Struthio camelus: one gene and its partners. The protein of the gene in region 2 binds, or shares a complex with, the protein of the main gene of each other region. Links are inferred from orthologs where the notes say so. Each region holds a gene or a part of one and is shown on either strand. Other genes may lie near its edges.

What was found.
Region 1: THOC2 (region 2) and THOC7 share a complex: the UniProt entries of both Homo sapiens proteins name them as parts of the transcription/export (TREX) complex. The link is inferred for Struthio camelus from reciprocal best matches to the Homo sapiens genes THOC2 and THOC7.
Region 3: THOC2 (region 2) and CHTOP share a complex: the UniProt entries of both Homo sapiens proteins name them as parts of the transcription/export (TREX) complex. The link is inferred for Struthio camelus from reciprocal best matches to the Homo sapiens genes THOC2 and CHTOP.

Annotation. Positions count from the first base shown.
Region 1 is NC_090955.1:12,526,841-12,534,713, reverse strand, and holds the start of THOC7 (THO complex subunit 7 homolog), read left to right. Parts: upstream 1-4,872; 5' UTR 4,873-5,042; coding exon 5,043-5,061; intron 5,062-5,705; coding exon 5,706-5,823; intron 5,824-6,588; coding exon 6,589-6,716; intron 6,717-7,045; coding exon 7,046-7,132; intron 7,133-7,873. UniProt on the Homo sapiens protein: Component of the THO subcomplex of the TREX complex which is thought to couple mRNA transcription, processing and nuclear export, and which specifically associates with spliced mRNA and not with unspliced pre-mRNA.
Region 2 is NC_090952.1:11,068,883-11,076,706, forward strand, and holds the start of THOC2 (THO complex subunit 2), read left to right. Parts: upstream 1-4,812; 5' UTR 4,813-4,842; coding exon 4,843-5,039; intron 5,040-7,824. UniProt on the Homo sapiens protein: Component of the THO subcomplex of the TREX complex which is thought to couple mRNA transcription, processing and nuclear export, and which specifically associates with spliced mRNA and not with unspliced pre-mRNA.
Region 3 is NC_090971.1:4,711,096-4,718,622, forward strand, and holds the start of CHTOP (chromatin target of PRMT1 protein), read right to left. Parts: upstream 3,002-7,527; 5' UTR 2,811-3,001; intron 1,554-2,810; 5' UTR 1,537-1,553; coding exon 1,472-1,536; intron 1-1,471. Other genes in the region: S100A1 (protein S100-A1), read right to left, coding at 3,906-4,049, 4,143-4,283; protein S100-A14-like, read left to right, coding at 7,446-7,478. UniProt on the Homo sapiens protein: Plays an important role in the ligand-dependent activation of estrogen receptor target genes. May play a role in the silencing of fetal globin genes.

The DNA.
Region 1 (7,873 bases), on a different chromosome or scaffold from region 2:
GTTAGCCTAAAATCAACTGCTAGTCATTTGAGGTCGTGGACTCAGGAGCAGTGGGGAATCTCCTGTGTATCACACAGGCAGCTGAAGTCTATGGCGTTAACAACTTTTAGATAAAACAAAAAATCTAACCCTCTGATGTATCTTGTAGCAGTCTCATGACTCTGACTTTCGGGAAACGTTTGTTAAAACACGTTGACTTTCTTAACAAGTAGGGACCTACTAAGTTATGGATAACAGGTATCACCAACTGGTGTACCATTTCTAACTTTTGATTCTTCTGCTATCTCAATTAAAGCATCTTTTGATACGTGTGCAAGGGGCGCTTTCATCAGCTGAGGGCACCCCTTCAGCTGCAAGCCCAGGTCGCTGCACTGAATAGCTCAACTTCCAGCACCATATAATTTCAACTTTAGCTTGACAAGCTTTAATGAAGTAGCAACGGCTCACCTTAAAACGCATAATAAATTGATCTTATGGTACGTTGCAGGCTGTTATATAATTCCCGTGAAGATATCAGAAAAAGGGCAATATCCAAATGCCATCAGTATAATCTAGATTAATCAAGAGACAGGGCCCTTACTTAAGAAAAAGTGATTTAAAAAGATTACAGCACTATTTTTTCAAAAAATTGCTAAGATAAGCTTTTGTCTCCCTGAATATGCCTTCACGAAAAAAGAAGTAGTAGTAGTAATGAAATATCTTTCTTACAAAAACTGAAACAAACCAGAACACTTCCAGGACTTCAATTCTGCAAAGTGTTTCAGTCAAAAAAATATGGTATTTGACAGGCGTCTTTCAGTAACCGCTTGAAAAATAAGACATAAAAAACAATCCTGTAGCCCACAACTTGTGATTACATCATTACCTGATAAAAGACTGGTTTTTAAAGTACAGTATTAGAATACATGTAATCAGTCTTGGTAACACAGGCAGTAGATAGCAAAAATGATTACTGTTTGGATAATAAAGTGTGGGGTTTTTAAAAATTATTATTATTATCACTACAATCACAGCAAGTATTTTCACCCTGCCTTCTCTTGTCACGTTCTAATTCCATGGAAATGTGCTAGCTCTGCAGAAACACAAGGGTGCATGGTAGGAAAGCTTTTTACAAGACTAAGAACCATGCTGTATGTTAAAAAAACCAACCGACCAACCTACTACTTTTTCCCCCAATCACTGAATTGAAACATTTCAGTTATATCTGCCCAAAGTAAGCCCTTTAAAACGTGCAGAACTACATAGCCCATGCCTAAGAACTAGCTGACAAGCTCTTGAAACACTGACGCTAGTTTCTAGTAAATACCGAGGCTAAAGAGGCTACGCGCTCTAACGTTATTTAAAATGAGGAAACACTGATTGCTTAGTGTGACATCAACGTTGGGCAAAATCAGGGAATACATTCAACAAAGAAATAAAAGATGATGATAAAAAGTAATGCTTAACATAGGTTTACAGAAAATAGGTCTCACTAAATAAATTTGGTATGGTTTTCTGACAAGAATATAGGTTAGACTGGATAAAAATATCTTGTAATGTGTGACCTACTATAGCTAGATCTCTGTAAGATTTAGTGCCACACAACAGTTTGATTTAGAAGTTATTCAACACGAAGAAAACCTGGAATCTAAAACCACCTCATAAATTATTAGTGTGGCTTAGGAAAAATATTTTAAATCCACCTCATCAATAGTTAAGGTTGTTTCCTTAGCTCTAAAAATCATAGCATATTATAGCTTTTAAAATTATAAAAAGCTTCTTCCCCTTTCACTTTTTCTGCAATTGGGGAAAAAAAAAGATTATATCTATATAGTTAAAGAAAAGGGGAGGAGGTATAAAGTCAAATTAACTTAAAAAAATTCACTGTTTTTTTCATAAAAGAAAATTTCAACATTAACACATCCCATTAAAAATATCTGGACACTTAAAAGCCATTTTCCAGTAAAAAAAGGATACAGATGAAAAATCTGAACCAGTTGCACACACGTGTAACACCTTGCAGTAAGTACTAAACTTACCCAGCCCATACGTCTTGTAACCAGAGTCACCTGGGAACATTACAGGGCATCATTTCACACTTTTGACAAGGACAGGTGTGCAATAAATTATTATGTATAAGCTGTTTCCAGATTTTACCATATGGCATCCACAAGGGAATTTAAAGCAAGAGGGAGAACTACCTCATGTTTAACTTGGTTGAAAGCCTGCACACACAGGTACTTATTCCAAAAGAGCTGGTGAAGAGAAAGGTGCTCTGCCCTGTGTAAGAACATTTTTTCCTATTGCATGAATCTCAGTTGACTTTTGAATACTGATTCCTGAAGGATGGCCCAATATTACTTAGTATCTTTGCCAGTTAACTGAAGTTTATATAACAGACTGTAGCTCACAGAATCTGCCCTGCCTTAAAAAGGGAAAACAATGGATTTGTTCTCTAAATTGCTGTTATGAGCCTAAGACCCAGACACAGAAAGCATGTTCTTGAATTAGTAAGAATTTTGTAATCAGTGACACATAAGAAGATGAGAATGGCATAAAAGTCATTAAAGATGATTAACTAATCATATGGACTGCTGTGTTCTGAATTAATTACTCAAGAAATATCTATTTGTCATTGTGGAGAGTTTCATAAGGGTATCTGACCGACACTAGAATGAGGAACAAAAAAAATCAAGAAAGGTTATGTTGGATTAAATGACAGATCGTAACATAAAAGTATTAGAATGCGATGATATAAATAATCGTGGATTTTCAGTTCTGATCAGCTCACCTCCAAAGTGGAAATGGAAAGAGCTAAAAGAAGGGCAACAAAAATATTAAGTCTAGGTCAGACAGTGATGCTTCAAGACGCTGAAGATAGTAGTTCAGAGAGGTAATCAATGGGTAAAAAGGGAAAGGCAGCAGCAAACCACACTGTATAAAATACATGCAGAGAAGTTCAGTTAGACATTCTTCTTCTCCTCTGCCAGAACGCTAGGGCTATATCATAGTGATCGATGCCTCAGAAAAAGCAAAGATTTTTGTCAAAACAAGTATATTAAAAGGCAAGAAATTCAGAATTCAGAAGAAAGACATTTTTATGACACGTACATAGCTCATGAACTCGGGGCTTTAGAGTATTATTGGGCCCAAACTTTGTTTAATCAAGTGAAGAGTTAGATCATCACATAAACTAGGTCACTCACAAATCACATAATAATATACGGAAATTTCAAGACCAGAAGTTACCTCTCCAGATTTTCTATACTGGAAATTCTTCACTCTCTAAACTTCAGGGGGTGTAATGCTTTCTCAGTAGCACCTTGCAGAGACCCTGACAGTTGTCACTACTGAAGACAAAGTACTGGCTTCAAACAACCTAGCAGTATGTAAATACCTGTTAAATGCCACTATCCAGAACAAAAAGAACCTTGTGATGGCTCACAGCCTTAAACCAGCAAACTACAGATTATAGCGTGCACAGACTTTGTCCTTTTCCTACACTGATTTTCCAAACATCCCTAAAACTGTCAAAACAAAGCACTGACCGAGACAGGAAAATAAATGTTTGGAGCAGAACAAGTCAATAAACTACTTAGCGTCCAAGCCAAAACGAAGGGGGAGTACCACGGTGTGCAGACGTCTCACGTATCATGACTATAGTATGACATATGTTACAGTAATGTTGCCAACTTCAGCACTGCCTAGGTGTCAAAGCCTGCGGTTCAAAAAGCTAAAACTCAACACTTGATACCAATAACACCTTAGTATCTCTTTTCTCCAGACACCCCTATCCCTTTTTTCCAGTGCCAGTTTTGGTTAATTTTTCAGGGAAGGAAGAAATAACTCTTACTACTATGGGCTGTTAATAGCCTAACTCCCCAATAAGGCAATTAGGACGGTCGTTTTTGCCAGGGCCTAGCCTCTGTGGCCGCAGCGTGGGACAGCCACCGCGGCACGGGGCCAGCACTGAGCCGCAGCCCCCACATGCTGCCTCCGCTCTGCTGGAAGCACCAGGCTGCTGCCAGCTGTTGCTGTCCCCATCCCTGCTGTCCCCTTCCCCAACGCCACCCTGGAGAGGCCGAGGCCGGGCACAGCCACCGTCCCTGTCTCCAGGGCCACCCTCGAGAGGCCAAGGCTGGGCATACCCACCGTCCCCCTGCCCAGTGACGCCCTCAACGGTCCAAGGCCGGGCACGGCGGCTGTCCCCCTCCCCAGTGACGCCCTCAACGGTCCAAGGCCGGGCACGACGGCTGCCCCCCTCCCCAGTGACGCCCTCAACGGTCCAAGGCCGGGCACGACGGCTGCCCCCCTCCCCAGCGCCGCCCTCGAGGGGCCGAGGCCGGGCACGGCGGCTGCCCCCCTCCCCAGTGACGCCCTCAACGGTCCAAGGCCGGGCACGACGGCTGCCCCCGTCCCCAGCGCCGCCCTCGAGGGGCCGAGGCCGGGCACGGCGGCTGCCCCCCTCCCCAGTGACGCCCTCAACGGTCCAAGGCCGGGCACGACGGCTGCCCCCCTGCCCAGCGCCGCCCTCGAGGGGCCGAGGCCGGGCGGGAGCCGCCAGCCCGGGGGAGCGGCGGCAGCAGCAGAGCAGCAGGGCCGGGGGCCGACGGGGCGGCGAGGCCGGGCGAGGCGAGGGTGGCCGCCGCCGGGGCCGCCTCGAGGGCGAGGGCGAGCATGTGCCGCGGGCATGGCGGGCCGGGCCGGGCGGGGGGCGGCGGCGGCGGCGGGGCCGGGGGCGCGGTGGCGGGGAGGAGGAGCCTGGCTGCGAGCGCGGGGACCTCCGCTGCCCTCCCCCGTCGGCCCCTCACCTGGCGGGGCCGCCCCTCGCCAGGGGGCCGGTTCCGCGCGGGGCGCGAGCCTCGCCCGCCGGCCCTCCCCGCCGCCGCCGCCGCCGCCTCCGCCGCCGCCGCCGGGCCGCGCGTCCGCCGCCAGCCGGCTCAGGCCCCAGCCGCCGCCGCCGCCGCCTCCCCCTCCATGGCCGCCGCTCTCGCCGGCTGCATTGTGGGAAGCTGACCTCACTCGCTGCTGCCGCCGCCCCGCCGGCTCCGCCGCTCGCCGCCATGGGGGCCGTGACCGACGGTGAGACCTCCCTCCCTCCCGCCCGCCCGCTGCCCGCCGTCCCCCGGCCCGCTCCCCGCGCCGCCTCGGCCGGGGCCGGGCCCGCCGCGCCGCGCCGCTCCCCAGGCGCGGGAGCCGCTCTGCCGGCACCGGCCACCATCCCCGGGCCCGCGGCCCTCGTTCTCTCGCCGCCCCCCGGCCCTCTCGCCGCTCCCGGCCCCTCACGCCGCCCCCCGGCCCCTCACGGTGGCCTCGGGCCCTCTCGCCGCTCCCGGCCCCTCACGACGGCCTCGGGCCCTCCATCCTGGCGCCCCTCACGCCGCCCCCCGGCCCCTCACGGCGGCCCCGGCCCCTCTCGCCGCTCCCGGCCCCTCACGGCGGCCTCGGGCCCTCCATCGTGGCGCCCCTCACGCCGCCCCCCGGCCCCTCTCGCCGCTCCCGGCCCCTCACGGCGGCCTCGGGCCCTCCGCGCTCGCCCACCCGCGGCGTTGTCCCGCCATGTGCCCCCGCTCCGTCCCCCCCCCCCGCTCAAAAACACCCGCTTTGTAAATGAAAAGCGCCCGGACGGCCCTGGTTCAGCGGCAGGAGGCAGGCCCGGCCCCGGCTGCCGGGACCCCGCCGCCCTCCCGCCCGGCGGTTAAAAACGGCCCCTTTTCCCGCCCCAGACGAAGTGATCCGTAAGCGGCTCCTCATCGACGGCGATGGCGCGGGTGATGACAGGCGGATCAACCTCCTGGTGAAGAGTTTCATTAAATGGTGCAACTCCGGATCCCAGGAGGAAGGGTATTTCTGTTTTCAGTCTTGGGAAATAACAGCGTACATTTAAATGGAAATTGGAATAAACTTGGGGTTTTGGGGGGGTGTGTGGAGGGGGGAGTCGCTTCTGTTAAGATGTGCACCCGTGCGTGTCAGTGTGGCTCTGCGGTGCTCCCAGCACAAACAGCGAGCATCAGGGCAGGAGACGGCTCAGAAATGACTGAGCGCCAGTGCTGCTTCGTGATCCGGGCCCAAGAGTCCCGGTGCTGTAACAGGATCATGACTTGAATGTTTTAGCTGGCAGTTCTGCGTTTGTCCTGTTAGGTAAGGACAATAACGTTAGTCTTCTGCTGCATTTTTTTCTTTTTAAAACAGGTCAGAGTTGTAAAAGTTGACCAACAGTGTAGTATTGTATTGTGAGGTCTCTGCTACTGTTGGATATAAATTCCAGGAAGTCGCCGTATATACAGAGGAGTGCTACAGTATTAAAATACTAATCTCGGTGAGCGCAGAGCCTGCCCCAGTTGGGAAGTTTATAATCCCTGGATCAATCTGCCCATAGCTTTAATACTCACTTTGCACCTTTAAGGGCATGGTGATAGAACTAGTTGGTGCAGTGTTTCTAACTGCACTTTCAAAAATTATACATTGAGTCTTTGGAATTTTATTTGTTTAATAATTGCTGTTATTTAACTGTTGCTTAAATTACTCATGCAGGCTTTGGCTTCTTGCTTTATAAAGGTAGGTGACTGTTTTATGCTGCTTAGGAATAACTATCTTGTCTGCTTTCAGTTACAGCCAGTACCAACGAATGCTGAGTACTTTATCACAGTGTGAATTTTCAATGGGAAAAACTCTTCTCGTGTATGATATGAACCTGCGAGAAATGGAGAATTATGAAAAAATCTACAAAGATATAGGTAACAGATATTACTGTTTTCTGTTGGACTATTTCTCTAGTGTGAGGAAGCTTGAGCCAGTGCTGGTGAAACTAATATATGAATATGATGAAAGATTTATTTTTTTTAAGATAACACTGATACAAAAGCTCTAAGCATCTTGTCAGTATCTAAAATACATGCAAGTAAAGTTTTTTTTAAACCCATTGAAGTATGTGTAATTTTGAAGCTGATGGAGCTAAGAAGCCACCATGTCACAAATGGCTCTTTGCCTTTTTGTAGTGCAGCAGATTGGTTTGTTGACATGTATTGTTTGATTTCAGTATAATTCTGTATTCTTTTTATTAAAGAAAATAGTATAGCTGCAGCACACGAGAAGATTTCTGAATGCAAAAAGCAAATCCTGCAAGCAAAAAGGATTCGAAAAAATCGCCAGGGTAAGGAGCAATATCTGTATTTTCACTGAGCAGTTTGCTTATTTTGTTACCTTTTAAAATATATTGTATTAGAAAATAGTTTCCAAATCTCTGAGTGTACAAGGGAAAATGCTGGTTTTGTGAATATTATATTTGTTCTGGTGGGTTTCACATGCACTCTGTGAATTCCCTTATCCAGTAATAGAACAGTGTGTATGTATATTGCCATCATTTCACTTTGGAAACTTATGCTTTTGGAGAATTCTTCTTCATACACTTACTTCAGAAACTCTACTTTCAGGGTGAAAATGTGGTCACTCCCCCCACCCTTTCTTCAGAAAACCTTACATTAAAACTCAAATGATTTAATACCTAATTGTTACTGTAAGGCACATAATGCTCAATTATACTATCTTCATTCAAAACTGCTGAAGTAAAGTTAAACTACTGAAAGTTTTTGGTTGATGAGGCAGACAAGATTGAACCAATAGATCTCAGTGAGGTGCAGCAACAGGAAAACCTAAACAGTAGTTCAAGAAGATGTTTTCAGGCCAAGGAAAAATCCAGCAAGGCTCATATGACAATTGAGGTGACTTTAGTACTAAAGCACACTATAACAGCAAGACAAAAGAATTAAACAGGCTTACTCCTAGCGCTGAGAATCGCGTGAGTACGTTCCTCCAGCTTTTAATAGAAAATATGCGGCCTACACATGTACAAAGATGGCCATGCCAGTCACACACCCATCAAAACCATAAGTAT
Region 2 (7,824 bases):
GTATACTGAATTGTGCTAATTCATATCAGTAATAAAAACTAAGCTACAAAAATCTCTCAACCCTGTAAACATAATGCCCACCTAAAATATATTTTAGCCAAGCGTTGGAAAGCTTCTCTGAGGTCCCTTATAAAGATCTATATCTGTTTATTGTCTCATATCTATCTTACACTGGAAAAATACAACAGCATCAGTAAAATTAATGGAAACAATGGAAAACAGACTGAGTCCGGAATAAATATCTCTCTAAAACACAAGTATATTTGGAGTCATACTTTTATACATGCTCTCCATTCCTTTTTGGATGATGTAGTTCTAAAGGTGAAATTGGAAATATGTAGTCCTCCATTTGATAATCATTTCCGGAAAAAGATTTCACTTCCTGTGGACTTACAAGGAAAGTGTTTAATAATACACTACCTATAATTATTTAATAGTCCAAATTCCTTTTATTAACAACCCGAAAAGAATAATTTGGAATTGAGAATTACAATGTGTTGAAAAGTATAAATAATTTTGAGCTACAAATCAATACTATTACATACAAAATGAAACGTAATGCATAAGGACTTGACTTTGCAAACCTTTATATAAGGGAAAAACTTAACTCATGTCTAGTCTGTGCAAGTCTCAGCAGGTAAAATTACTCATCAGCATAAATTTTCACAAGAATAAGCTCTAAATGGATTGTAAATAACTGACAAAGTATTTACCACACAAAAGAACTCCCATATATCAGCACTCATAGCTAATATGTTTCCTTTACTGTAAAAGTTGTACCACTCATCACAATTTAATTATATCATTTAGTTAGTATAAATAAAATATACAGACAATATAGTAAATACAGCAATGCTGATTTGGTAAAATTGTTTGATAATCATTTATTGTAATTTAATCTCAGGTCTAATTATTCCATAAGTATTTAAGTATTAATGAACCATTTAATTAATAGCCCAATTCTTACAATAATGACACACTTTCACTGAATCACTGTTGAATGGTTGATGTAAAACACTCTTCTAGCTTTTCTAAAATTCGTTTCAGTGACATTCTCATTGTGAAGCTCTAGAAGCCATGAAACCACATAAAACTCTCATCCTAAAACTACGAAGCTATATCACACTTTAATTATACTTTAACTGTATATAGTCTAAGATTCAGCACTCCAAATATATTTGTAGGTTTAAAGATGTAGGCAGGTGCCTGCTAGGTAAACGTATCTAAATGGGGTAATTGTAACAGACCCATTGAAACCCATGGGAGCCAGGCATCTAACCTACTTTTGTAAAATCTTTTTATGGGCCCAGTTGCATCTTTAATATCTTTGAAAGTCTGCCCTCATATTATTAACTATCATGATCACTAGTTAAACTGTAAACAGTATACAATGCCACTCATTAATTAGGGCTACATGGCAACCTACTACTGTAGGAGGCCCAGACCCACAGGCCAAAGCTACAAAAATCCACAGACTTTAAGCTAGTAAAAATGTAAGTAAATTGGCACTGTATGAAGTAAACATTTAAATATACGTGTGTGTGTGTGTGTGTGTGTGTGTGAGAGAGAGAGAGAGAGAGAGAGAGAGAGAGAGAACACAATGTTCTTTAAAAATAAGTTAATTAGCTCTGGCCAAGAGAGAAGACAGACTATTTCTAGAGAAATTGCTGTCAATGATGGTAGAGAGAGCTAAGTATTTGCAGAAGCAGTCAGTATTTTGCAAGACTATGCAACATTGAACAGTTAAGTAATCTCTATATCTGGATCATTTGTATACCTAACTGAAAACCTAATTCAATTGTGTGAGCACATATTTGGGTTCACAATATTTTAATTTGTTTCTGTTAGCTTTCTCCTTGTCAAATTACAAACTCCAACTAAAAGAAAAGCTGGAGTTTTGCAATGTATAGTTGTGAAACTGTTGCTGCAGTGTTTTCATTATCATATGAAGACAAACATCCCAGTGTTATAATGAAAATAAACATGAAGTTGCTATATTGACCTGAAATGACTTTTCGCATACATATAATAAGGTAATCTTGATATTAAAGTGATTATCTTCCAGCAAGAAACATATCAGCAAGTGTAAGTACATGCTTTTCACAGATTTTATAGAATATTAGTTATTACTGTAATATACTCAATTATATTTTCAAATTGTTTCTGTCGCATGAATATTTATATTGCATGTAATGGCTACCTTCATATTCAGCTTGTTCCAGTGTTAGCATTATACTTCACAAAATAAGTAGTTTAGTTTCCTTGAATAAACTTGGGATTTAACCTTTCTGTTGCTGCAGTGACTAGACTGCTTTATTCTTCTGTATTTCCTCACTAACCTCCTTTCATCCTCATCATGAAATTAAAACTTCACATTTGCAAATGTGCAGCTCAAATTCAACGTGCAGCTGTTCTTCAGTTTTATCACGTTCATGAAATGATTTATATCCCAATAGAACCATGTACAAGACTGAGAAGGCAGACAAAATAAAGACTTTACAACTGACAGGTAAGAGGAATTTATGGAAGACTAACCATGTGTGCTGCCTGAGCAAATTAAATATTTCTTAACTCACATATCCCAATTAACAATCAAAATAAATTAAGAACGGCTTTGAGAAACTTGCAGAGAAGAATAACACACAGTGAGACGGGCACATGTATTGGGGATGATCATCAGAGGAGAACATCCATACAGCTGTTTACATTTTTACATCTGTAATTAAGAGGACACACCAAGTGAAAAAAGATCAAGTTTCAAACATAGTACAATATATCACTGATATTTTGAATTCCATTGAAGGCCATAACAGAATAAATACAAAATACTTCTGTGGAAAGCGGTGGCAGAGTGCAAAACACTTAAATAGTACATTTCACTTCTTAAATGGTATGTTGTTGCTACTGTAAATAATGACCTCACTAGCTCAAACCACATGATTAAAATATATGCTTAAATTGATGCCCTATAATCAATTAGGGAAGTGTGTACTTGCAGGTTTGGGGTTCACTGTTGTATCTTATTTCATACAAAAATTACCTTAGAAAGATGTTACGTTAGTGTGACTGTGGTAGGAATGCCAGAGGAAGGGTAATATACACTAAGAAGCAGTTTCGATTTTTCACAATCATTTTCACATAACACTTAAAAAAATTATTAAAATAATTTACCATATTTACTAACTTAATGAATTTAGTCAATAACATAATCTATTAAAATAATTTGCCCTGACTTGTCAGGGAGTAATGAAAATTATTTTAGTCTTCACAATATTATCCAAATTGTTATTGAAAATTTGTTTTGATCATTTATTGGTAGAAATGTTGTGCCAAAAGAGGAAGAAAATCTGCTTTTTATTTTGGAAGAAAAACCCTCTTCATCTTGCAGCATGGTTCACAAAGGATGTGGGGAGAGCTCATCAACATGGACAAGGGTCTCTGAATTTTGAGTGATTATAGGATTATAATGTTTTGAAGCTCCACATATTTACAACAACTGAAGACATGTGCACACTCACACAGACACACTGATTCCACGAAGACTTTCCAAATACACTGAATTTTAAAAGCAAGCAAAATACCCTGAAATACTAGTTGAGTGGCACATAACCTTCAGGTGCACTAGGCTCTGAAAAGTCATACCTAAATTTTAAGTCTATTTTCCTTAAATCCTTTCCTTTAAATGCTTTCCTTTACTTTTGTGCATCAGCTCTCAGAGGGTCAGTTAGTCTAACTCCCCTTTTTTCACTTGTGCAACACACCTACACAAAGCTATGCGCTGCTCACATAATGTTTCGCTTTGAGTCCCTGTGAATTAGAGGAAGAAGTTTCTTACGAGGAAGGCCACATCCCAGAAGTGGTGATATGTTTTCAATCTAGCTTTACTGGAGGAGCGGATCAATAGACATAAGCGTATAACCTACTTGTACTCCGTGTTAGTTACTGTCACTCTCATGTACTGTCTCCTTCCTTCTGGAAAGCACTGACACCAACCCACAGGTTGTGCACAACTAAAGGGTCAGGAATGTTTTCTGGGCGGTGAACAGAGATGCAAAGCAAAGTGGGAGCAGTTAGTAGCTTTATTCCTGTTCTAGAATCTAAATTTTTTTTTGAAGAAAAATTCTTACTGCTTGCAAATAACGCATCTGGAATCTGAATTCCGAGGCTAAGATTTGAAAAGTAAAAGAACTGTTACAACTGTTCTTCAATGAGCTTGGAATACAGATTACATACCGTGTCACATTTGCATAAAACACGTTTAACATGCTCAAACGATCTCACTTGGTGTGTTTCCCGCCTCGGCCGGTTAAAAAAAAATACTCGAATTCGCACTATTGTTACAGATGTGTGGACCGAGAGCCGCACAGTGAGGTCATAACCCAGTCGGAGGGCTGACTGTTTGCTGCGCAGCCCGTTATAAATTTAAATTACCTGAGGAGGTTCCTCGAACACGCGCAGGTTTTAACCTGCGCGTTGGGTGCGGGGCAGCCGGGAGTCGGTTACCGCCGCGCAGAGGCGAGGCGAGGCGAGGCGAGGCGGGCGCGCGCGGGAGAGCGTCACTCTCCCGACGGGCGGGCGGGCGCTGGGGCCGGTGTGTGGCGTGTGCTTGGGGCCACTCGCTCGGCATCAAGGCAGCGCGGCACCGCCCGCAGACAGTTCCTGGGTGGAGCTAAAGCTGGGCGGTAGCGGGTCGGCCTGCGGCTCGGAGCGCTGCTAGCGGCTCGGCTTTAGAAGGGAGCGAGGAGGGTACACCGGGGACGCCGCCGCCGCGGTATTTAGGGGGCGGTGGCGGCGGCGGCGGTTGAGGCGGCGGCCGCGCGGGGGGAGGGGGAGGGGCGGGCCATGGAACGGCGCGCGCCGTCTCCCAGGGTGCCGCGGGCCCGCGTCCCGTCATGCCTCGCGGGCCGCTCCGTCCCCTCTGACCCGAGCCCGTCGCTCCCCCATCCGGGCTCTCGGCGCCACACGGGGAAGATGGCGACGGCGGCGGCGCTCCCTGCCGAGTGGATAAAGAACTGGGAGAAAGCGGGCAAGAGCGAGTTGTGAGTGCGGGGTCTCGACGGAGGAGGGCGGGAGGGAGGCCGGCGCGGGAGGCTGGGTGAGGGGGTGAGGAGGTGGGAGCGGGCGGGGAGGACGCAACTCGCTGTGCCCTCGTCGTCGGGCCGTAGAGGCGAAACCCTGGTCGGGCGGTGGGCCCAGACCGCCTTTCCGTCCACCTCGGCCGCTTTTGTCGCTCCCTAACGATCTCCGCCGAAACTCGGCCCCGTCGCTGCCAGCTAGGCCTAGTTCTTCTGGCTGCCGTTGCCCGGGCCCGAGCGCCCCCTTCCTGCCTCTGGGTCGGGTTTATCGGGTGTCGGGTGCCTTCTGCTCAGCCGGGCCCGTGGAGGTAAGATGGAGCCTGATGTTTCCTTGCCTCGCTGGCTTCTCAAAGTTGACCTTTTCGGTCGAGGTCTCGACCCCTGTCCCTGCTTTCTCCTCTCCGAGGTGTTTAGCGCTGTCTGCTTTGATCCGGGCTAGGTAGGATCAGCTAGTCCTCCCCACTTATCCTGCAGGGCAATGTTTGTGCTCTAAAGGGTCTCCTCTTAGCTTCCCAAATCCATCCAGGTGTGGTAGGGACTTTACCGTTCAGGGTCTTGAATATTTCTGTCTTGAGCAATTTCTAAGCTAGCAGGCGGACTGAATGTGCTATGTGTTATGTTTCGGGAGGTTATCTACCAGTTTCTCAAATTTAAATTAATGTGTTAGCTTGGATGTGGGTGCCCAGTTTCCTATCTATATATTTGAAAAAAATTTCTCATATTAATTTTCCATTCGCTTGTGCTTTTTATTGTAACAAAAAGTTTGAAATAAAGATATTTGGGAATCATTTTATGAGTAAGACTTTTTAATAGTCTTTCCTTTATTATTTCTTTTTGTTCCTATATATTAAAAGATTGTGCAGCTGTGGTAATCTCTGTGCATGGAAGAAAAGAAAAGGTAGTGAGGTACAGAATAGGAAACATAGAGGCTCCCTACTGAAAAAAAAAAAAAGTTCTACCTCCATTTTTATAGTGAAAAGTCCCCCCCCCCCCCCCTGCTTTTTTTGGCCATGTTGTTATTGTCCTTGAACGGTCCTAAAGCAATAATCGTGTTAGCACATCAGGTTACATGTTTTGGTATATATTATGAATAATAAAAGGCCAAGGAAGAGGTGTACTGTAACTACATTTATGACAATGATAAAGTATTCAGGAGCCCACAAACAAAGATGAGGCTCACATTGCTTTTTTTAATCTCCTTCTGCTTAAGATTATATGGCAATAGCTGAATTTGTATCCAACTGAGCAATGTTTGTGATAAGCACTGAGGCCTTTTTAATGAACTTACTTTAGAAACTTCTATATGAATAACAAAGACTAAAATGTACAAATATATACTAATTGATACCTTTTGAAAATGCACAAGTGGCAATAATAAAATATAAAATATTGTCTTTTTACATAAAATGTTGCTATTTTTTTTTCCTGTTGTGATACTTAAACCATTTTTGCCCAAAGAAGTCATATATGCTTACAACTTTTGTAACTTGCATGATTACTGAGTTTGTATGAAACTTGCACGTGGAGAGAAGTTTCACAATTGACCGTGTAATGGTTGCTGCGTTTTTTGAGTTCTCAGAACTTTGCTGTGGGAAGAAGGGCAAGTTAGCTTAATTTTTGATCATGATAAAGCCTTTTATGATTCTCCTCTCCCCCTAAGGCAGTATTTCTTAAATGTGACTGGGAGGAAAATATTCTAGTTTGCTGTGGGGCCAATAAAACAAAATGATAGGTTAAGTTCCTATGTATGTGGCGTTTCCAGTTGATTTGCTTTCCAAAAGGAAGAGTGCTATTTTTTAAATATTCGTAACAATTAAAGAAGGAACAAAAGCAGTATTTCATGTTTTTCTTTGAATTATCTACGAATCTCCCCAAAATATAAATCGGGTATTCTGCAAAAGGCATGGTGGGGAGGAGAAGGCCATAAATGGACAAAACGGAGAGTTGTAGCAAATACGGGCTTTGCAAAAAAACTTGGAATTTCATTTTCTATATGGAGGCCTGCTCTAATAAAGCCAATGCACAAAGTCATCCATTCCCTCTTGTATGGATATCTGTTTTTAAAACTGGTAGGCTTAGTCACCGAGAGTCAAATACCAAACTTCACTGAAAGTCAAAGATTGCAGAAGAAAACTTATTGTAAGTAGAAAGAAAAGATTAGGTTATATGGGAAAATACCTATTTACTGGTATATAAAATGACTTATGGGATCTGATCAGATCAGCCCAAGATTGTATTTTGAGAGTTAGTAGTTACCTAAATAAAACCTAATTTTATGTATTAGGGAACGTGAAGATTGCTGTATTGAGAGAAGTAAATGGTAGTGTCTTTATCTAACACTTCAACTTCCGCTGTGGTTAATAATGAGTGCTTAAGATGATCTATGTTTTCTTACGTGATCTTGTGTAGTAGGGTGATGATCAGCCTATGTCCTAAAGCATGTAGGATTTGTAATGTTGCTGTAATCTGTAGGAGTTGCAATTCTTTAAGAGAAAAAACTGCTTGTTTATCAAACAAAACAACACACAGTGAAGTTTTAAATCCAGTAATGAAGTCACTTTTAAAATAACGATTTATCTATTTTTTTGAAGTATTATGAAAAATACCAACTTGAGTTTTGCTCATGTGATCATTATGTCAGCATAAGACCTTATTGTCCAAAAACTGGAGGATAAGGGTTTTTTTTCGCATATCCTTAGCGTCGTTATGTGGGTTAGTAAGGCAGCGTAATTAGAACCTAAGCAGTAGT
Region 3 (7,527 bases), on a different chromosome or scaffold from region 2:
TTTAAATAAAGCTTTATTACACACATTTATTGGCATTTCATGGTTCTCAAGATTGGATCTCCAGATCCCATGAACCTTATGTAAAGAGTGGTACTTAGGTCACGTCATATGTGAGTTACGTATTCCTTGTTTTCCACAAATGTGCAAGAACTGGAAACTTAGAAATGATGTTGTGTATTAATTCAGAAGTGGTAAAGGTTTAGTTTACCGATTTTAGAAATGGAAGAAGGAATGAAAACAAGCAATAAGCAGAGATGACCATGACAGATGGAAGAGGACATTGCACAGAAGTAGAAAAGCCAACTGAAATCTGACTGCAAAAGCCAAAATAACCTCACGGAGTTGAGAAAATTCTCTAAAGACTCAACCCCAGAAGACAGCTTTATAAAAGACTTTGCCCTGAGAACAGACTGGTATGCCTCCAGCACACCACAGAAACGGTGCCACAAGAAACACCACCATCTGAGTGTAGTCATTTATAGAAAACGGTTTATCTAGCACTTTCCTTGACGCATGAGGAACCTTCTGCCTTTAAGAGCTATATGGCCTAGAACATACAACAAGATGGTAAGCTTCCTTAGCAGCAACCCATCAGCTTTCTACTGTGTCCTAGGAGTTACCAGGACAGCAAAATAAAGCACTACAGAATGAGTAGTATGGACTGACCAAACAGCAACAGGCCAGCAAGCATTCACTGCACCTCACTATTCCTCTTCTCCAGGAGGCAAGCCAAGCACTGGTTCAGACTAAGTCTCGCTGCAGCACTTGCTGGAACAGGAACTGCATACAAATGGTTCATTTCTCCCTGGCCTAATGCTATTAACGTGGTTAATCCAAGAGCGATTAGCGAGAAGGTGAAACATAACTGAAGCATTGCTGTTAGTTGTCACTGCAGAACCACAAAAGCGTAATGGCATGGAAAAGCAGGAGGATATTCAGCAGAAGAAATAAAGAACTCAGCACCAAGAAAAGAGAGAGATGGAGATGGAGCAAAGCATTTGCCTCTTACAAGGCCCAAAACGTTGTTAAAGGGCCTTTGGGCTTGTTTAATGGCCTGCTGCCTGCCTCTTACAGGCCAGACCACATGCACGTGTGTCTGCCTTGGACAAAGCAGCAAGCCTACTGCAGCTTAGGTAACATGCTACCATGCTGCAGTGTCAACTATATAAATGTAAAAACATGTGGAAGAAAAAGGGAGGGTGCGAGGTTTCTCTTTTTTGTCATAACACATCCCACCATACTTATGTGTTGAATAGTTTAATTTTAACTGCTACGGATAAATTTCTCCAGAATAATTGCCCTTTTAACCTTGTGTACCACATTTGTTGCAGTTTAAGACAGAGGTGCATAGCCATCTGCTTGTTATAGCGAGGTTAAAACAGGGCAGAAACCACGTTGGTTTTTGGAAACCAGACAGTGATAATTAAGTAAAAAATTTCTTATGAGCTGAAGCTGCTGTTGGCTTCCTCACCGCTCGTTCAGAGACATCTTGGTGGTGCTCTTTAGCACAACCTTCGGTGCTGACTGTGCAGCCATCTTCAGATCAAGAGAATCTGCAAAACATGAGAGCCTGATTTAAAAAACAGCAGGAGAACTCGCGTTTACGTGGTTAAACATTCAGAAACCTGCATTCCATTCCAGATCCTTTTGTGGAGAGAGCCAAGAACTTGGCAAAAAACACTCTATCTCAAGTTTCCTAGGCCATTGTCATGATGCAGTAAATTTATTAAGCTAGCAAGTTATGCTGGCTCATCCCTTACTAAATAGTCTTCTTTTCAGAAAGGGAAGATTTGCCATTGGTAGGAGTAATGCTGCAGAAACATAGTCCATCAGCAGCCAGGACGGCACCCAAACATCTTGTTTGGTACTGCACCTAGTGACACTTCTACAGCTTCTAAGCAGTTAGTATCAATAAAACAGAAAATGGGGTTTCCATCTTAGAGAGGCATACCACACACTCGGTAATACCAAAAAAAAAAAACCCACACACCCCAAAGCTTATTCAAAGACTGCTTTTTCCTACAGAAGACCTACATACTTTCAAAATATTAAGGTCACATTCCCTCTTACTACCCTAGGATTGCCACAGCTGGGCTGCACAGGGGTAACCTATATATGTTTGCGCAGTTACTTCAGCTTTCGAGTATGTGATACTCTAACAGGCAGCTCACCAGCACTCACAATGCGGCTCTCTAATATGAAACCTCATCACATTGCTCATGAGAGCAGCTAAAGGGATTTAAACCCAGCTGTTATTATCTTTGGATCACAGCTCAGGCCTGAGAGCAGTGATGACTACAACTTGAAACGCTAAGGAACACAGCTCAGCCCGCTAACCGTTCGGATCAGTGCCTCATTTTTATGATTAATAACGTATCTAGCGCTTAGGTGACTGGCAAAAGCACTTATCCTCAAGCTACTAGCAACAAATAAGATTTTTACGATGTTCTACAGCCCGCTCAGCTAGAAACGGAGCTAATAATCCGCTGCAGCACTTCCCCCACACCGGGGAGGGGGGGAAAGGTGGTTTCAAAACAGCCTTTTTCCCCCTGCCCACGCAAACTGCACAGAGCAGCTGGCGGGGAACGGCGCTGACAGGAACCCACCGAGCGCCGGGCCCGGGGAGCAGGGCGAGGCCTGGCCCCGCCGGCCCGGCCCAGCCCCGCCCGAGGCGCCTCGCGAGGCCGCCGGGGCCGAGCCCAGGGCAAAGCACCGCACTGACCCCGCAGGCGGCGGGCCCCCACCGCCTGAGGCCACCCCGCGCCTCCCCTCAGCGCCCCCCGCCCCCGGCCAGGCCCGGCGGCTCTCACCGAAGCAGACGGTCGCCAGGTCTCCGGTGGGGGCTGGCCGGACAGCTGACGGGTGGGGTGCGGGGCTCAGCTCCGATCCCCTCCGCCCGCTCCCGCCGCGCTCGAGAGCCAGCGACAAAATGGCGGCAACGACCGCGGCACCTTCCCTCCCTCCCCCAGCAGCCGCGCCGAGCCGGGCAAAATGGCGGCGGCGGGCGGGCAGGGCGGGCAGGGCGCAGGCGCCAAGCGCCGCGCGTGACCACGCCCCCTGCCGGCCGAGCGGGGGTCCGGAGGCGCATGGGGGCGTGGCCTAGGGGAGGGGGCGTGGCCCCGACGGCGGGGCGAGGCCTCCGGGGCGGGGCGTGGACGGGGAGGGGCGGGGCCTCGACGGGGCGGGGCGGGGCCTCGACGGCGGGGCGGGGGGGCGCGGGCGGCGGCGGCGGTGCGCGGTGCTGCGCGGTGCTGCGCGGCCGCCGCCCGCTCCGTCGAGGCTGGATGCCGCTTCCACAGCCCCCCGCGCCCGCAGCACGTGTGGGGCGGGTGTCCCGGCCCGCGCCCCTGCCTCCTCCGCCCCTGGGGGGGGAACAGACCCCGCCGTCGGGCAGAGGGGGTCCCTCAGGGATGTCTGTGCGCACCCTCGGGTCGCCCACGAGCAGGACACAGCTCCGGCCGGCCAGCGCCGCCGCTGCCCCTTGCTTTCTGCTGGGTGCAGCGGGGCGCCGCGCGCCGGCCCCGCCGAGACCCCAGGGGCCGGAGCGGGAGGCCCGGGCCGTGCCGGAGGGGGCGTTCGGGGAGCGCTCCCGCCGGAGCCGCCAAGCCCGGCAGGCGATGGCGCTGCCGGCCCTGCGTGGGGCCCGCCGGGAGGAGGCGGGAACCGGTTCCTCGAGCCCCGTGGGGCGCAGCGCCGCTCGCCTCCGCCGCGACGGCCGGCCGGTCCCGCCCCGCATCCCCGCGCCCCCCCACCCCGGTGCCCGCCATCCACGGCGACCAAGGAGGTGACAGCACGCCGCCGGCTGGGTCGCTGCCTTTATTGCGGAGCCGGATGCCGGCGGGATGCCCCGGGGGGCGAGGGGGGGGCGGGGGGCTCCGCGTTTCGGGGAGGGGGGCCGGCCCGGCTCAGGCGTTCTCCCAGAAGAAGGTGTTGCAGGCCACGGTGAGGGCGGCCACCAGCACCACGTACTCCTGGAAATCCACCTCGCCGTCGCCGTTCTCGTCCAGGTCCTGCATGATCTTCTCCACGGCGCCCGCGTCCTTCTGCGTCTGCGGAGGAAGGGGCAGAGGGCGAGCGCCGGGGCTCGGCAGCCCCCCCGGGCCCGCGCCCGGGTGGCCCCCGGTGCCCGCGCCGGCCCCTACCTCCAGGAAGCAGCCCAGCTCGCTCTGCAGCAGCTCCTTCAGCTCCCTCTTGCTCAGCTTGTACTTGTCGCCCTCCTTGCCCGAGTAGTGGTGGAAGACGTTGATGAGCGTCTCCATGGCCCCCTCCAGCTGCGACGCCATGGCTCCGAATGCGCCCGGCCGCGGCCGCCCGGGCCCGTTAAATAAGCTCCAAGCCCCCTCCCTCCGGGAGGATCCGACACCGCGGCTGGCCGGCCGGCCTGGCACCGCCGGCACGGAGCTGGCGCGGGGGCCAGCCGGCGCGCGGGGCGCCCGCTCCGGCCCCGGCGGCGTTCGCGCCCCGCCGAGGGGGCGTTCCCGGCCCGGCATCCCCCCCCCTTCCCTCCCACCCTGCTTGCACCCCGTGCCCCAAACGGGACGAGCCGGGCGCTGGCGGGAGCGAGGTGCCGGCTGCCGGACGGGGGGAGCCACGGGGGTCGGCTCCCGGGTGGGCGCTGGGGGCCAGAGCCCCCGTCCGTCGGCCCCCCTCGGCCCTCGGCCCCGGCAGCCGGGCCGCCCCGGCCCCGCGGGGTATCCGGTGTCCTCGGAGCCGGGTGGGGGGCCCGGCGGTGGCTATCGGGTGACGCAGCCCCGGCCCCTCGGGGCCGCCCGGCCCCCCCCCGGGCGCAGAAAGGCCTCTTGTTCGATGCAAAAAAAAGAACAAAAGCCCGACTCTCCCGGCGGGGAAGGCTGCTGCGGCCGAGAAACCGGATTCCCGGCTGGCATCAGCGAGGCCGATAATCCCGGCTCTCGTTACGGGCCGGCGGCCGGGTGGCGCGCCGGGGACCGTCCCCGCCGCGGCCTTTCCCGCGCCCCGGCGCGGGAACGGCCCCGGGGGGGGGCACCCGAGCCCCGGGGCACCCCAGGGTGCCGGGCGGCGCTGCCCGTGCCGGGGCCCTGGGCTTTTCGCAAGAGCCGGGTGGTGCCGGGGAATCTTTATCCCAGATTCCAGTCCTCGTTGGGAGCTAATTATATCCTGCTCTCCTCTCCGGCTCGCCTCCCGTTTCCACCGGGCGCGCGCTGCCCTCCGGCCCCCCCGTCCCGTCCCCGCCGTTGTGCAACGCGGCCCGGACCCCGCGCGGCCGGGCGCCCTCTTCCCAAACCGGGAGCCGGGCCGGCGGGCTGGCGCACCCCTCCCAACCGCTTCCAGCTTCCGACTCCCCTGCTCCAACCGGTCGCTCCGGTTGCTGGTGCCGGGGCTGGGCCCCATCTCGCCGCCCCGGCCCACGGCTGGCGGGCGGACGAGGCTCGCGGGGAGCCGGCAGCCCTTTCCCGACGGATCGGCGCGCGGCGGGCTCGGGGGGAACGGCCCCCGGGATGCTCCGCGCCGGCCCCGGGATGCTCCGCTCCGCCGCGGCGCTCCTCCCGGCACCTGCTCCCGCTCGGCCCCCCAAATTCCAGGGCTGGCCCCAAATTCCTGGGGCCGGTGACTCAGCCCAACCCGTCCCGACTCACCCCGGCGCTTCCCGCCGCCCATCCCCGGCCCCTGGCGCGGGGCTCGGCGGAAGTCCCGCTCCGGCCCGGCCCCACGGGGCTGCACGAAACCAATTCCTGCCCCGTGAGCTGGGGCCGCGGACCGCCACGCCGCAAGCGCGCGCGCGGGTGGAGTGAGCGCGTCAGGGCTCAGCGGCACCGGCCCGGTGATGCCCAGGGTCGGATCCCCAAAACGCCCCGTGGGAAAACCGGCTCCCCTGGGAAACCCCAGCCAACCTGGCAGCCCGCCCGGCTTTCCCGACCGATGCCGCCCCGGCGCACCCCGGCCCCCTCCCGGCCCCCTCCCGCTGGCCCCCGCGGGAACGGCCCCGCCGCAGCGGGCACCTGCTCCGGCTCCTGCGCCAGGTGGAAACCGGCCAGGCCGACCGCGTTAAAAATACACCATGATTAAACGCTGGGGCAATTCCCACCCCCTAATTAATTGGGATTAATTAATTTCTACAAAGACCACTATTAATAGGGATGATGTCAGTGGGCAGCTGAGTCACCACTCTCACTCACTGCGGGTCGAGCCCGTCCGGGTCTCGGGGTGCCCCGGGCCGCGGCGCTGCCTTCGCCCCCCCGCCGCGGCCCGCTCCGCGTCGGCGCTGAGCCCGGGCTGCGCTCGGCGCACGTGTGGTTTCACACCCCCACGAAAAACATGCTGGCCTTCGGCTGGTCGCCCCGCCGCGGCCCCGACCCCGGCCCCGACCCCAGCCCGGGCGGGGAGGGAGGAGACCGGGGGACGGCCGTGCGTCCGGCCGCGCGTCCGGCCGCCGCGGGAAACGCCGCGGGAAACGCCACGGGAAACCCTACACCGCGGGCCGGGGACAAAGCGCCGCGCTCTGCCCCGTAAAGCCTCGCCGGGGGCCGCGAGCGGGGTAAGTAGGGACCCCTGTCCCGGCGGGACCCCCCGGCCCCTTCCCGCCACCCCCGGATGGCTCCGGCGCGGGGCGGGCCGGCGGAGCCCCTCACCGAAGCGTTCGGTCCTGAGGGTCTGCGTAGCCCCCCCCCCCCCCCCCCCAGCCCCGGCTAGCATCCTGCTCAGCCCCGCGGAGCCGGCAGGAGCTGGGCTGAGGCCTTGCAGACTCACTGCACCCGGGGCGGGAGGGGTGTCACGAAGCCGCCCTGCACCGGGGCCAGGGCAGAGGGCCCCGGCGGCCACCGAGACGCGCCAGCGGGCAGGAGCGACGAAGTGGGGGGGGGTCACATCACCGGGCCTCCCCGGCGCCCGGGCACGGCTTCGTCGGCCGGCGGGGGGCTCGGGCGTCCCGCCGGCCGCCGCGGGAATCGCCCCGGCTGAGCTGCGCTCCCCGGCCCCGGCGCCCGCCGAACCGCCCGCCGTTCCCACGCGCCGCGCCGGGCTCGGCGGGCAGCAGCGGCCGCGGCCAGGCGGGAGGCGTTTCCCGGCCCCACGCTGGCCCCGGGCCAGGCTCCGAAACGCGCCCCGGCGGCTCCCGCTCGCACCTCCCCGCCGTATAAAACGGCGGCGGCGCGACGCGGCCCCCGCACAGCCCGGCCGGCCCGCCGAGCAGGTAAGCGGCCCCCCCACCCCGCCGCCCCGCGCCGGGCTCCCGCCGGCCCCCCGGGGTGGGGTCGCCCGCTCCCGGCGCCCCCGCCGCCTCGCTCCTGGCCGGGACCTGTCCCGGCTCCGGGACGCGTCCCGGCAGCTCGCCGCATCCCTCCCCGAAAACTCCCGCCGGGGGCCGAGCGCTCAGGCTGGTTTTCTCCCCTCCGCCGGCGCCCAGGACCCCGCGGATCCGTCGGAGAAGGCACCCGCCGCCGAGCAGCTCCCCACCGGCCAGCAGCACCATGGGCCAGTGCAACTGCCGCAAGAAGCGCAAGGTGACCGCGCGGCCGGGGCTCGGGGCGGCGCGCAGCACGCGGCGGCCAG